2 separate regions of the Mus musculus genome follow, and region 1 is reported to be linked to region 2. The links are microRNA targets in miRTarBase. Many come from high-throughput screens and were not tested one by one. Region 2 holds a microRNA gene; the other region holds the end of a gene's coding sequence.

Region 1 (7,413 bases), not on the chromosome of region 2:
TGGATCCACAGCAGTGGGGGCTGGGTAAGAAGTTCTCAATTGCTGCTCTCCGCATCCCTCTACAAAGTTGGTCTTCATGGGAAAATAGGGCCTCTGATGGGAGGCTGGGGTTGTGCTGGGAAGGGCTGAGTTCCCTTATTTAAGTGGAATCAGACTGAGAGCATCAAGCTCACAGTACTCCAGGGCTACCATGTAGTAGTAGCTGGATGGGCTTCACGGTCCCAAGCAGAAGACTGAATATAGAGTTTTATAAACAGAGAACCTTCAGCGAATAATTGTGACCCCTGCGTACATAGTATGGGTGGTGAGGCCGGTCAGGGATGGGTCATGGCTAGGCAAGCCTTAGCAAAGGATGCCAGTTCTGAACGGAACTTTATTGCCATGGAAGGGATGGGGCTGACATCACGTAGACAGTGCAGAGGAGCCAGGAACGGGGTTCGGAGGGGCTTGTGTGCAGTAGAGCTTCGGCTGGAGCAGCTGGGGATGGGGGCAGTGCTCACAGTGGATGGAACTGGAACTCTTCCTTCCCTCGTCTCTCCACTATCCTTTCCTGATCTCCCTTTCTCCTTTCTCTACTTCCCTTCTCTCCCACAGGCGGAGTTCACAGCTCTATACGGGGACGGGGCCCTGGAGGAGGCACGGCGTCTGCGGGAGGGGAACTGGGCATCAGTGAGGACAGTGCTGACGGGGGCCGTGGCACTGGGGGCCCTGGTAACTGTAGGGGCCTTTTTTGCTAGCAAGTGAGAAAGTCTAGGGCCAGGTGGGGCTAGGTGTGGCTAGGGGCCAGGAGAGCTGGAACAATAGCGAATGCCCTTGGAAGAAACTGGATGGTCACGGAACAGAGAAAGGCAGGGGAAGGTAGTGTGTGTGGGAGCCCAGCATGCCAGGCAGGTGGCAGGGAGAATGAGTTGGAAACATTAAGGAATGTTTCAAGGCCAAGAACCCAGAGAGTGGAGTCATCCCACGGCTTGGGGGGTGGGGGTGGGGAGGTGGGAGGAATCATGCCCATATCGCGGGCACACAACTACCCGGAACATGGCTTGTAGCTCCAAGGACGGTGAGCTTACTTCAAAGATCTGTGTCTCGACTAGATGAATGGGATTTAGGGAGCCTAGAATTCACTTCCCTTTGGGATGGAAGCTTGGTGATCAGGTGACTGGGTGAAATGGCTGTGGCTGTGGGCTGCATGGGCACACCTGTGCATGTATGTGCACATGCAAGCATGCTCATGTGCATGCTGGGCTGTCTGTCGAATCTGGTGGTGGGGTACTTAGAGAAAACATTCCTTCTTGCTATGGCAAGAACAAGGGCCAGTTCACTGCCCTTCTCCTCTCTGCCCCTTCCCTTGACCTTACGCCTCCAGGCTGAGGGAGGAACACTGTATCTAGACTAGGGCTCTGGTGCTGCCGAGAGTTGTTGGCAGGGCTTTGGAGAGAAGAGTTCTGCAGCTGGCCTTGTTCTTCATCATCCCCCTGTTGTGTGCATCTGTGCACCTGGGCTGAAAAAGGGTAAGGCTGTGGAGCCTGGGTGGGTAGAAGCTTTGGTAGTTGGACTTGCCTGTCACCTTCCCCTCCAACGGTGGCACAATGGTGCCTAAAGTGTTGCCTGTTTCTAGGGTCTCTCTATCCAGCTGAGTCTAAATTGGGGATCTAGTTTTCCTTTAGAAGATACGGGCATAAATGCTGATCTACAATTCAGTTTAGTTCCTGAACTGTCTCAGTGAGACTGCGGATACCTTGAGAGGACCATTCCAGCTCTGAGTCCCTTGGGAGTGATGGGGACAGGTACTCCTTGACTGGCCTGTTCTGGGTGGTGGGTTTTTGGTGCTGCTGCTCTATCAGGGGCCAGGGATATGGGTTCTAGAGTACCTGCCATGACCTAACGCGTTTTCTTTTGAAGCCATGCTCTTTGCATAGGTTGTCAACACTCGAGTCTCTGAAGATGGTCACATTAGAACTCACAGTCCAGTCCCCTAGAACAAATCCAGACTCTAGCCTTTTCTTTTGAGGGAGGAAATGATTCACTCCAAATGCATGCCCTGAGCCAGACCTCACTGCTGCACTTCCCAAGGTGCTAACATTGCTGCTCTTTAATGCTGACTTCGTTCCCAGTGCTCTAGAACCCTACCTGCCTCTCCTGAGCACTGACCAGCTTGGCTAGACCACAGCTGACCCACCTCTTCACTTGGTCCTAGAATGTGGCATCATATCGTGCTTGCTAGAATGTGGGACCAAATTGGCCTCAGGTGTTTTAGTCCAGACTTTGGCTTTTGAGAGAAGGTTGCACTTTTTCATAGTGTCTATGGGGGATGTGGGAGGCTGCATGTGCCAGTTGGTCTGTTTTGAGGGTGATGATCTAAGAGACTCGGAGCTGTCTGTGACAAGCAGTCAGAGTGGGAGGCTCTGACTTGCTCAGGACAAACTAGGCCAGTGGTTTTCAAACTGCTTGGCAGAGCCCCGAAGTGTCCTAGGGGTTGCCTCAGGAGTCCTTAGGGAGATGAGGGAGTGGAGGGCTGGGCAGTTTGCCCTCAAACAGAACAGCTCCCCCTTGTAGCTGTCTTATGTATCGGGGTTCAGGGTAAGATTTTATTTGTGGTAAGGGCTTTGCTGCTGAAAAAAGTTAGAAAACCACTGACTAGACCATCAGCTCCATCTGGAGCCTGTGCTCCTCCACGTCCAGGGAAGTCTCTGCTCTACCCTTCCCATGGGACACCTACCTAAGGTAGCATTCCTGGGGCCCTTTAGCAAACAGGAGCAGCAGGAACCAGGGTCAGGTTACCAACATGCTCTGCTAGCAGACCTTCAGCCAGGTGGGAGGAGAGGCTGTGCTAGGACAGGCTAAAGGGTTGGTCTTGGTCTGGATTCTCAGAAGCTTAGATGGGACCACAGTGGAGAGTTGTGACCTGTTCTGCCCTTCGTTTTAAGGGCCAGTGGAAACCCAGAGACTCTTCTGTCAGGGAAAACCAGGGACTGTCTTTTAGAGCCATATAGTTCCTTGGGATTAGCTCTTGGCCAAGAAGGCTGAGTATGGCTCCCAACTTTTAAATCCATTTCATTTTTTTTAAATGAGGGAAATGGATATAATTTTTCAGATACTAAGTAGCTGGAGAGGATGTTCTTGCTCTCCAAAGCCCAAAGGGACAAATAGGGACTTTGCTTAGGCCAAGGCAAGAGCGCAAGTGGGCACTCAGTCCTGCAGTTACCAGTCCTACTCCCCACTTACACTAGGGCATACATATACTATTTTACTTTTTTAAATCATAAACGGCAGGAGAACAGATTTGGTTAGTTTAGAAGAAAAGAAAAAGCTCTATAAATATAAATATATATTCCTGTATTTTTATTTAATAATTTATAAATGCCAAGTTCATTTGACTTTTATTTTTGTGTAATATGTAATGGTCGTATTAAAAATAAATAAATAAAGCCCAGAAATTTAATGAGAAGTACTGAACAGGGTTTTGTGACTTCTATACTGTACATCCTGGGTTGTAGAACTCTCCCTAAGCCAGTCATTTCTTGTGGCCATGACCTTGCTAAGGGGAATAACTGGAGTTATAGGGATTTGGGAAATAAAGTATTGAGGTTAAAAAAAAAAAAAGAAAAAAGAAAAAAGGAAAAGAAAACCACGCCCACCCCATCCCTGGCCAAATACCCAAACCTACAAATTCTATACCAACCCCAGCCTCCAGAAACTGTAGGCACATGTGGTACATCTAGAGCCCCTACCCACAACCACCACCTCCTCAAATATCCTGGTTTGGTGTGGTGGCAAACAACTGCAATCCCAGTAGTCAGGTAGAGACAGGAAGGTGGGCCACCCAGGTCTACAGGGAGGTCAAGGCCAGCTAAGGCTTCCTGAGACCTTGCCTCTAAACAGATGGATAGAAAGCAAAAGAGTAATCAATGCATGCAGGTTGTTCTTAAGTAATATTCTCAAATACAAAAGCTAGGCTGTGAACTCAGCTGTGAGTTTCTTGGCTGCCAAAGCAACCTGGAAAACAGTGAGGTTCAAAGCTGTCCAGTTACTCAGATGGCAGAGTTTTCTGCAAAGATACTTAGTGACAGAATTGCAGGCAAATAGAATAGTTTATATCTCTGTCCTATTAGCAATACCAGGTGGGGATCCAGAAGGCCTTAGGTTTGTCTATCAGCCTCATTATAATTTAGGCTAATGTGTTATTTTATAATGGTCTGATTACTAAGTTTTAGACTGTCCAGAGGGACAGATGACTGTTTTCTTTATATAGTTCTGTGTAAATGCAACTCATCCAGATGGCACTTTTAATAAAGTTGGGCAACACTTAGTTATAATTTCTGACCATTGTGGGGGTAGAGAGGTTGGGTTGGGGTAGTCCTTGCTCATGCTATAAGTCTCTTGCACTTCAGGAGCAAGGACTTTAAGTGTAGATCTGGCTGGGACTACATAGAGTCAGCTCCAAGCCACCGGGCTGCAAGGTAAGACTCATTGTCAGGAGAAAGAACAAAACCCAAACCCTACAGTTTCTTTCAATTGGGTAGATCATTGATATTCTTTATCAAGTTTTTGTTCGCGTTTTCTCTCATTTTTTTGTAGCTTGTAGCCCAGTCTGGCCTCAGACTCAGTGTTGAGATTCCAGGTGTGTGCCACCAGGTCTGGCTGAATTCTTTGAAAATTAAAAAAAAATCCTTAAATGTGGTTACGGGGAATAACCATAAAATAATAATATATAACTAATCGATAACCTATAAATATATCCCAAAGCTGGATGTGGTGCTGCCAGTTTATAATTCTAGCTTTTGGGAAATAAGAGGCAGGATCAGTGCCACTGTGGCTTATATAAGACCCTGTTCAACACACACACACACACACACACACACACACACACACACACACACACACACACCAGAAATTTTGACCAGAAAGCATAATATAATGGTTGCTCTTCATTCATCATCTCTAGAGAAAAATGATCAAATATTTCCTGTGTATTTAACCCAGTTCTAGGCTCACAGGCAAAGAGAATGGGAAGACATATCTCAGCTCACATGTTGCTCTTACACTCCAGTAGGGGGTCAAACAATAAATAAATCTCATAACTATGTTAGAAGGTAGTAAATACTATGAGGAAAGATGCCTGGTGACACACATCTTTCATCGTAGTGTTAGGGAGGCAGCTGCTAGGCAGCTCTGCAAGTTCAAGACCAGCCTGGCCTACGTGTGAGACCCTGTTTAAAGATACTATTTTTAAATAACAGGATGAAGGATAGAAATATGTAGATTCTCTAATTTTAAATCAAATGATCAGGGAAATCCTCATGTCTAAGATGACAAGTAAAACTACGAATTACGGTATAACTGAAGGTATCTACTAGCACTTAAACATTTTTATATTTTCCTATAAAACTTATATAGGTTAGAAAATAGAATGTGATAGTGTGAAGTCTTCAGCAAGAGCAGACAAAGATCCCATTTGTGGTTTTGTCTGATGGGCAGGTTTTGTTCTTTCTGCTGTCAGTATTTTCTGACTGGGGTGGGGGATAATAAATATAAGCAAATCTGATAGAGCAACTGAAAGCAAGTTTTTTAGATAAAAAGTTGTTAAAAACATAACCAGTCAAGCTTGGTGATGGGCATATATACTTGCAATCTCAACATTCAAGGGATGGGAGGGGTCACTGAAAGTTGGAGGTTGATCTGTCTACATAATGAGTTGTAAGCCAGCCAGGGCTACTTAGACAGACCCTTTATCAAAAGATTAGCCACTCAGTGGGCTGTCGAGATGACTCAGTGGGTTACAGTCCTTGCCATCATGCCTGGCAATCCAAGTTCAGTCTTGGACAATGGAAAGGGTATACTGAGTCTGGCAGCTCACATGAGTGCCATGACATGTGCTTCCTTCAAATAAAAAGTTGAAAAAGAGAATGAAACAGCCTATCAGTTGAGCTAGAGAAATGGCTGTGGCTAAGAGCACTTGCTGCTTAACTCAGAGGAGGTCAGATCCTAGGATCAGTGCCATGTAGTTCAAACCTCCAGCTCCAGGAGATGATAAACACCTCTGTTTTCTGTGGGCACCAGAACACAGACCCATACAGAAATAATATGTTTTAAAAGTTATCCAGTCAAAGCTGAAATGAAGCAGCCTGGTAGAAGCCCTTTCACATTTAAATACTACCTCACTTCTGTACAAGGTCTGAGCTAGGAAGTTACTGCAAGCTAGGATGGACCACATCAGAAGATACCAGGATCTTTTCTAAAAGAGACTCGAAAGGCTGGACAGATAGCTCAGCATTATGAGTGCTTACTGCTCTTACAGAGGACCTGGTTCACATCTCAGCACCCATAGAACAGCTCACAGCTACCTGTACTCCAGTTCCCTGGAATCTGATACCCTTTGGCTTCTGTGGGCGCCTCCATGTCAGTGCTACACATAAATTCACACAAACACACATATACATACATAGAAAAGTAGTAAGTCTTTCAAAATAGCATAAGGCTTCAAGTCATATGTCATCACTGACCAGTGAAATATAATGCAAGTCACAAAAAGAGTTTTACATTTTTCTAGGGGCCTCATTAAAAATTGAGAGAGCCTTTAATCCTAGCATTTGGAGGTCAGAAGCCATAGGATCTTACTCTGTAGCTATGTAGCTCACTATGTCCTGAAACACACTATGTAGATAAGGCTGACCTTGAACTCAACCTGTCTCTGGGCCCAGCCCCCCCCCCGTTTTTTTTTTTTTTTTTTTTTTTGAGACAGGGTCTCATGTAGCCCAGGCTAGCCTCAGCTTTCCTATATAAGTGAGGCTGGCCTCGAACTCCTGATGCTTCTGCTTCCCCACCCCCCAAGTGTTAGGAATTCAGGAGTCTGTTATGTTATCACACCTAGCTCTGTGGGATATTTTGTTTTTTAAAGATTTTAAAAATGTATACGTGTGTGGGAGAGAGTATGTGCATGTGTGTTAGTACCTGTGGAGGCCAGAAGGTGTTGGATTCGATAGAGCTGAAGTTACGGGTGGAGTGAGCATGTAGGTGCAGAGAGCTGAACTCAGCTCCTCTGTAAGAATATCAAGAGCTGTGGCTTTTGAGACAAGGTTTCTCTGTGGCCTGGCTGTCCTGAAACCCAACCTATAGACCAGCTGGCCTCAAACTCACAGAGATCCACTTGCCTCTGCCTCCCAGTGCTGGGATTAAAGGCGTGTGACTCTAGTTACTCACTGTGCAGACTGGCCTGGGACTCCTGGTTGTTTTTCTGCTTCAGCTTCTCAGGTGCTAAGATTACACATGTGTATCACAATGCTGAGAGGAAAATAATAACCTCAGCATGCTCCTCGGGTAGGAGGATCTCAGGTGTAAGGCCAGACTATATAATACAGCCCTGTCTCAAAACAAAAACAAAAACAAAAAAAAAACAAAAAAACCAACCAAACAAAA
Region 2 (7,413 bases):
CCTCTCCCTCCCCAGCCCCCTTCTCTATTTAAAGACTCCGCAGACTCCGTCCCACTCATCTGGCGTCCTTTGGGACTTGTGACCCTAGCGAGACGTCATCCCTGGCCCTGCAAAACTGCGCCCAGCCTCTGGAGGAGACCGAGGGTGACCGCGCCCCGTTCTGAACTACAATAAAAAGAAGCGGTTCCCCCTAAGCTTGCTGTCTGTGCTTTCAGGGAGGGGCGGGCCCGGGCTGGAAGGGGCTGAGACCGGCCTCATCGAGGAGTCCGGACCCTCCGACGGAAGTGGAATGAAGCTAGCCGGAAGTGAAGCAACGTCTTCCACCTCGTCTTCCTCCGCGCGGCGAGGCCCCTTGAGTGACTGGGGAGAGGTCGGGTCTCGGCCAATCAGCTGCAGGGAGGGCGGGACTTCCTGCGCGGGAGCCCGAGCGGCCGGCTGCCGGGCTCTCCGTGGTTTCCAGCTCGCGTGGTGGTGGTGGCGGCGGAGCGTCTCCGTGAGGAGGTGCGCGGGGCCATGACGTCAGCGTCCACCAAGGTTCGACCTCCCTCGCGGACTGCGCTCCCTGGCGGCCACGGGAGGGTGGGCCCCCTGCCTGGCTCCCGGCTGGTGCGCGCTGGGCGGGGGGCGGGCGGATCCGAGGCTGGGGTGGGACGGCGCGCTGCCGGCCCCCCGTAATGCTGCTCCGCCCCCAGGTTGGAGAGATCTTCTCCGCGGCCGGCGCCGCCTTCACGAAGCTCGGGGAGTTGACGATGCAGCTGCATCCAGTCTCGGACTCTTCCCCTGCCGGGTACGTGAGACCAGCCTAGGACCTGGACTCCGAGATCAGACGCTTGGACTCAAGTCACAGACACGACCCTCTCTAGAGCAGGGAGATAGAGTAATTCCCCTGTGCCTGGCCCAGCTCAGTGTAGGTGGTAATTGTTGAATTAGTGGATGACAGGTAAAGAGACTACCGAGGCCACAGCCCTCCACTGCAAACCGACAGAATGTCTGCCACCTACCCCAAGCCCTGTGGACTCCCTCAAACTGCTGCCACACATCTTTCAAGGGTTGTGTTTGTAAGGCCCCTACTTGTTTCATTGGTTTCCGTTGGGTTGTTTATGGAAGCTGTTACATGATGAAGTGATGTTTTCAAGTGGCCCTGGATGTAATTTCATGTGGCCAGCGATTTGTCCCCAGGGCTTTTTTTTTTTTAAAAGGAGGTCCTTTTTATGAATCTTTGAAAGGTGCCCCTAGAGACTAGGGGGAAGAGGCTGCTGGCTGTGGACGGAATAGCCTGTGGGCTGGTTCCACACATCCCTCTTCCACTTTTGTTATCACCCTTCTCCCCTTCCGACAGTGCCAAGTGGACGGAGACGGAGATAGAGATGCTGAGGGCTGCTGTGAAGCGCTTTGGGGACGATCTTAATCACATCAGCTGTGTCATCAAGGAACGGACAGTGTGAGGGAGGGTGGCTGGCAGAGAAAGGGGAGGGTGGGCAACTTTCTTCCTCCTGACCCATTGTTCTCTCTCAGAACTCCCAGCTCAGCATCTTTCCTACTTTGTTCCTAGTTTTGTTAGCATTTCCTTGAAGACTGAGAGACTGTCACTGTGGCAGTTGGTCGGAAGATCAGGAAATGCAGTGGTCACTAGGGCCTGCAGAGAACTTTATTTTCATGGTGCCCAGATACTCAGTGGTTGTGTTTGATGATAAGAGTTCCCTAGCTATTTATGTAAATCCTTTGAAACTGGCATGTCCAGGGGATGCATTCTGAACTAATTAGTTGGTCAGGTTCTATGACAGTCTCAGTCTACCTTTATGTCACCACAACATACCTGGTGGTCCTACAAAACCATGCATCTCTCCCAGAGGATCATGAAAAGGGCCTTTCTGGCCACTCAGTTCAGGGACTCCATTCATCTTAATCTATTAGCCCTAAGTGGATGCAAAAGTTCTGAACGTGGGGGGGGGGGGGAGGACCCTTATTACACATGAACTGGGGCCTTGACCTGGATATCTACAAAGGAACTCCTAGAATTCCTTCAGAGTGGCCCATTATTCCCTCCCCTCCCCTCTTCCCTCGGCTTCTCTGATGACACCCTAATCTGCTCTCTCTCATCTTCAGGGCTCAGATAAAGACCACTGTGAAGCGAAAAGTGTATGAAGACTCCGGCATCCCCCTTCCAGCTGAGTCACCCAAGAAAGGACCCAAGAAGATGACGTCCGGTGTCCTCTCACCTCCAAACGCCCCTCCACCCAGCAGCTCCAGTGTCCCTGAAGCTGGGGTTCCTCCCATAAAGAAACAGAAGGCTGGTGAGGGCTGTGGAGTTGCTGCCTAGGGTAGGGGTTAAAGGTCCTATCTGAGATTCAATAAGAGAATTGGGCCTGGGTCAAAGAAGGAGAGACGCTTCTCTTCTGTACGCTGGTGATTCCAGAGTGGGTAGAGGGATGTGTAGAGCATGAAGCTTTGGCAGACTGGGAGGAGGGAAAGACAGCAGTCAGGGAAACCTAGAACTTAGCCTATGCCCCCTCCCAGATGTGACACTCAGTGCTCTGAACGACTCCGACGCCAACAGTGACCTGGTGGATGTCGAAGGGCTAGGAGAAACTCCTCCAGCCAAGAAACTCAACTTTGACCAGGGTAGGAGTCCTCCTCCTCCCACGCTGGCTGGGGGTGGGGAACATACTCACCTGGATGGTAGGGGAGGGTCCCCACAGAAAACCCCTTTCTGGTGCAGGGGCCTCAGAAGGAAGATTCAGTGCAGGGGAATGGGTCAGTTAGTAATACGGCGTTTGAGGAGGTGAGGGTTTTCTTGGAAAAATCCTCCACGCTTGCTCCATCTCTGTCCGTTTTCCTTCCTGTTCCAGACAGCCTGACCCTGGACTCTGGCCTCCTCACCACCTCCGCTGATGCTCCTCTCCTCTCCTGCTGAGCCTTCCACCTCTGACCCTCATTGTTCACCCTGGACCTGTGGATCACCTGGGACTCTAAGCAAGGACTGCCTGAGAGAGGGTCAGAGGGCTGCTGGAGCCATCCACCTCGTTCCTGATAACCATGTGCCCTCGCCCTTTGACTTCTGTGTGATGGACATTTTTATACAGAAAATTATAATTAAAAAAGATTCTCTCAACATGGTGCTGCCAGCTGCCGTTCCCTCTCCTCTGCTTCGCCCTCGGGGCTTGGCCCCTTCTCAGTAGCTCTCACCACCCTGCCTGGAGCAGCACAGCCAATATTGGCAGACTCACTTCCCCATGCCAATATTTCTGTGCTGCTAGAGCCAGGAGAGTTGGGTGTGGGCAACAAAGACTCTACTTTGCTCTGTGGGGCCAGAACTCATTACCAGGGTTCCTGATAACTGGTATCAGACAACCTGGGGGTTGCAGAGGGGCTCTTTCCAGTGTCTCCTGTCCCACCTTGCAAGAACTTCATCACAATACCCTAGACGGTGTGTGTGTGTGTGTGTGTGTGTGTGTGTGTGTGTGTGTGTTGCTTCTCCAGGGTGGCCTCCCAGGGCCAGGCTCATCGGTGCCTCCCATACCCTCGCTCTAACACCACAGTGTGGTTTGGACGTGGCCACAGTGCCGTACAAACCACAGTGTGCTGCTGGGGCGGGGGCAGGACTGGGGTGGGTCGAGAGGAAGACAGCACAGGCAGTGCCGTGAAGACCCCCACCTAGAGTGAGACAGAGGTGTGAATGGCAAACATGGCCCCCCAAAAAAGCTGGGGGGGGGGAACAATCAGGAACCAGCAAAAGTAGTTTAGCAGGCAAAGGATAGGGCCCTGGCAGATGAGTCCAATGTGATAAGCTTGGAGCATTCTTCACCTCTGTAGGAATTCAGCTCTGGGGATCCTTAGGAAACGGGATGACTGGGGAAGACCAACAAACTGCCTCCCACAAAGGCAGGGACCTAAGGTTTCCTGTGTCCATTCCTCCCTCCCTAGGTCAGAACCCAAGAGAAATGCTGGAAGACACAGGGCCAAGGACAGCAGGGTTGGGAGTTGGCAGTCCAGAGGTGGTGGGGCTGGAACACGGTTGAGAGAGGGGGGCCGGAAGTCGCCCTGGGCCCTGGGCCTGCCACAAGATGGAGGCCAAAGGCAGGAAATGGAGGCCAGGGAGAAAGGGATGCAGCAGAGCCCAGGAAGAGGCTCATCTGGACCAGAGGGCAAAGTATTCAACCCCAAGTGCTGCTTCCATTCCCCATGGTCCCCCAAGACCCACGCCCCACCCACACAGCAACACTCATTAGCCCATTCACCAGGCCCAGGCAAGCAGGCCCACCCCTGAGAGCCACGTTTAAGCAAAGACAAACATGCCTTTTCCCCACCCCCAACCCTAGGCCTTCCCATAGCCCTTTCCTCCTGTCCAAGACTTGATTTTAAAAAGAACCTCCCAGAAGGCAAAAGTTTCTTCTGGAAATTTCAAAACAAAACAAAACTCTGTAAACCCTAGATATTAACCTCCCATATCTCATCCCACCTTTTAGCACCACCAGGCTTCCGACACACCCCCCCAAAACTCTTAGCAATCAAAAGATTTAAGATGGTGTGTGAAGCAATCTTTTTAGGCCCCCCTAGTATGCCAGACCCTCTCCAAGACTACCAGATCACCTATATCAAGCCCTGCCAACGCCTCCTGCTCCTTGCACCCTCCTGGACCCCCAGAAACAACTGCTGTCCCCCAGCTCCCATCCCAGCAAAGCTTTTGTGGGGCTAAAAAAAAAAAAAAGCAAACACTGTCCTAATGTCTGTAGGAATATTGGGGGCTCTCAAGTCTCAAGCTTTGGTTTCAGTATGAGGTGCTACGTCTTAGGGGTACAAGAGAAAGCTTCTCTGGTCATCCCCCCAATTTCAAGAGTTACAAGGCGCAACCCCACCCCAGCACGCACCTCCAAACCTCCCCCCCAACCGCCACGTCTCTCCTGAAAACAGGGGACACTTTCCTCCCCACTTACCTCAGCTACTCTCCCCTGAGATCCTGGTCCCCTATTTTGAAAGGAGCAAATTTTGGGGTGCATCCCTCACATTTGGGGTGCAGGAGAAAAGAGACGCCCCAGTCGCATCGCTGGCCTCCTTCCTCTCAGCTGGCTCAAGGACTGGGGAGTGCCCTGGGGTGGGGGACCCCCACAAGAGAGCTCTGGAGGGGTTCCTCCACTCCCAGTCAGAACTGGGGACACCCCCCCAAAACCCGTCCCAGCCCATCCGTCTCCAACTCGGCGGGAGAGGCAGCTGCATTGCCCCAGTCAGATTCCCCCAACACTACATTCCTCACCCCATCTAGAGGGATCCCGGGGCCCCCAAAAAATCCCAAAAAAATCTAGGATGTTGGGAAGATGGTCCTGAACTAGCTACCCAAATTTGGGGTCCTTAGATACCCCCGTTTTTTCAGGAAAATTCTGTCTTTCTCCTGCCTCCCGCCAGCCCTGCTCTGTCCCGATGCCAATTTTGGAAGTCACTCCCTCCTTCCTCCTCCCCGTTTCTCCAGGCCCCCCCGCTTGGGGGCTAGGGTCCAGGACACCTGGTTTCCAGACCGGGGGACACTCTTTAGAAGGCTAGGGGCCAAGAGGTCAAGCTCATTGCCCCTGTCTCAAGGAAGCAGGAAAGCCCGATCCTCCCCTCCCCTCCCCTCCCCCCTGGCTGGTCTCGGTGGTGGTTTAGGAAAGCCTGGAGGACTGGAATCTGCCATTGCTATTGCACAGGCAGTTTTTTTTTCCTTGAGTTGGGGGGGTGGGCGGTGGGAGGGAGAGAGGGGAGGAGAGCCGAAGAGAGCAGGGACCTAGGCGGGAATATCTGGCCTGGCTTACCCTCTAGCCCCTGCTGCCGTTGGAAACCCCTCCCCCGCCTCTCAGTTCACCCTCATTCCCAATCCTCTGTCTGCTTTCTCTTTGGGGCTCTTATCTTAAAATATCAGGGTGCAAGATTCACCCCCCCCTTGTAGACCATCACAGCCTTTCCTTGCCAGTTTCAGCAGCACTGTTAGTCAGAAAGTACCCACTTTAACAAGAGACACCCCATCTCCTCCAAACGGATTTTTTCTTCCATAAGAAATCGGGGTTCAGAGTATGAAGCCACCTTTCCCCCCTTAGCACAACAGGTCATATTCCAGTGAGTCTATGATGGACCACACTGCTTTTTCCAGGCTTCACCCTTCAAATTCTGGCCTTATTTGGGGGTTCACTAATTTTTTTTACAATCTGGGGTGCCAGGGGACTATCAGCAAAAGATAACCTAAGTCAGAAGTGTGCTTTAGAATAGGTGAACCTCCAAATCAATTTCAATTTATGACCCACCTCTCAGCTTCACCAAATGTGGCCAGTGGCAAAACACCCAGAAACTGGATACCCCCCAAACTATCCTTCTACCCTGGGGGGGCTTCTCAATTCTCTCCTGTGGAGGAGTTTCACACATAAACATGTTCACAGGAATATCCAACCCTCAAAATGAGTTTCCACAAGATTCAAATACAAAACTTTGCCCCCCCATCAATCAAGCTCTCAGCTACAGAAAGCCTTCAGATCCTCTCCTAGCTTCTGGCTCTGCCACCAACTCAATGTAACTGGGCTCTCTAAAAAGCCCCAAGTTGACCTTTATGTCCCCAAACAATCTCATCCAAACCTTGAAACAGCACTTGGAAAGAGACTATGTCCCCCAAATTAGTTGCGTACTCATGCTCCCCCAGTAGACCAGAAATTAGAGATGGACAGTCTCACATGGGAGCATCAAATCCCTCCAAACCCCCGAACTAAGACATCTTTAAAACCAGCCCCGCACCTCCAATTTGCTATCAGCTGTCGAGACTAAAAACAGGCCTTATTGACTACAATAACTTCTATGGCAAGTGACACCCCAAAACTCAGAATAGCTAACTCTGTCCTGACATCAAAGCCCTTAATGTTTTCACCTCAAATTTGGAGATGAAAATTGGATAGAGACCAAATAATCTTCACAAAGTAAAGCCACATCGTCATCCAGGGTCCCTAGCTATCCCCAACCCCCAGTTGGTTTGCAGTTTTGTTTGCTACGTTTGCTTAAAAAAAAAAAAAATCAAAACCAATAAAACAAACAAAATGTACTCCACCCCCAAGAACAGAAGGGAGAGGCCTCAGGCCTAGATATGCTGGTCCATTCTTGCACAACTGCTATGCTCCAAACCCCAAACTCAAAGAGCTCCTGCTTTGTACCTGGGTTCAGCTCTGCCCCTCTTCTTCAAAGGAAACTTGTCCTTCTATCCCAAGGCTCCCCAAACAAAATCTAAGGGTGTGGTCCCTGCCTAGCTTCTGAATGAAGTACTTAGCTACCAGGTTCCTCCTGCCCTTTCTCCTCTGTCCTCTCTGTTTACTCCGACCAATGCTCATATTAATGTTCATTGAAAATTCCTGTCTACAAACATCTGGGTAGAAGGGTCTATCAAATTAGAAAACAAAACAACTGTGT

Evidence for each region. The annotated mature microRNA mmu-miR-195a-5p reads UAGCAGCACAGAAAUAUUGGC and lies in region 2 at 3,236-3,256, opposite strand. An mRNA with a match to its seed (bases 2 to 7 or 8) in the 3' UTR can be bound and repressed. Matches are read on the target gene's strand: a 7mer-m8 pairs with bases 2 to 8, a 7mer-A1 pairs with bases 2 to 7 and ends in A, and an 8mer does both.
Region 1: miRTarBase lists Bcl2l2 as a target of mmu-miR-195a-5p. Seed matches in the 3' UTR shown: 7mer-m8 at 1,825-1,831, 7mer-m8 at 1,828-1,834, 7mer-m8 at 2,081-2,087 and 7mer-m8 at 2,605-2,611.

Annotation. Positions count from the first base shown.
Region 1 is chr14:54,884,790-54,892,202 of GRCm38, forward strand. Bcl2l2 (BCL2-like 2) reads left to right here. Exons shown (of 4, transcript NM_007537.1): 3 at 1-24; 4 at 595-3,445. The coding sequence ends at 744. Among named protein-coding and RNA genes, the nearest start is that of Bcl2l2, 5.1 kb to the left of the region's middle.
Region 2 is chr11:70,230,905-70,238,317 of GRCm38, reverse strand. Mir195a (microRNA 195a) reads right to left here and starts at 3,276; the gene lies at 3,183-3,276. 0610010K14Rik (RIKEN cDNA 0610010K14 gene) reads left to right here and starts at 404. Exons shown (of 6, transcript NM_145758.1): 1 at 404-534; 2 at 693-787; 3 at 1,340-1,441; 4 at 2,107-2,294; 5 at 2,518-2,622; 6 at 2,854-3,114. The coding sequence starts at 514. The coding sequence ends at 2,858. Mir497b (microRNA 497b) reads left to right here and starts at 3,502; the gene lies at 3,502-3,626. It overlaps Mir497 (microRNA 497), which reads right to left and starts at 3,601; the gene lies at 3,518-3,601. It also overlaps Rnasek.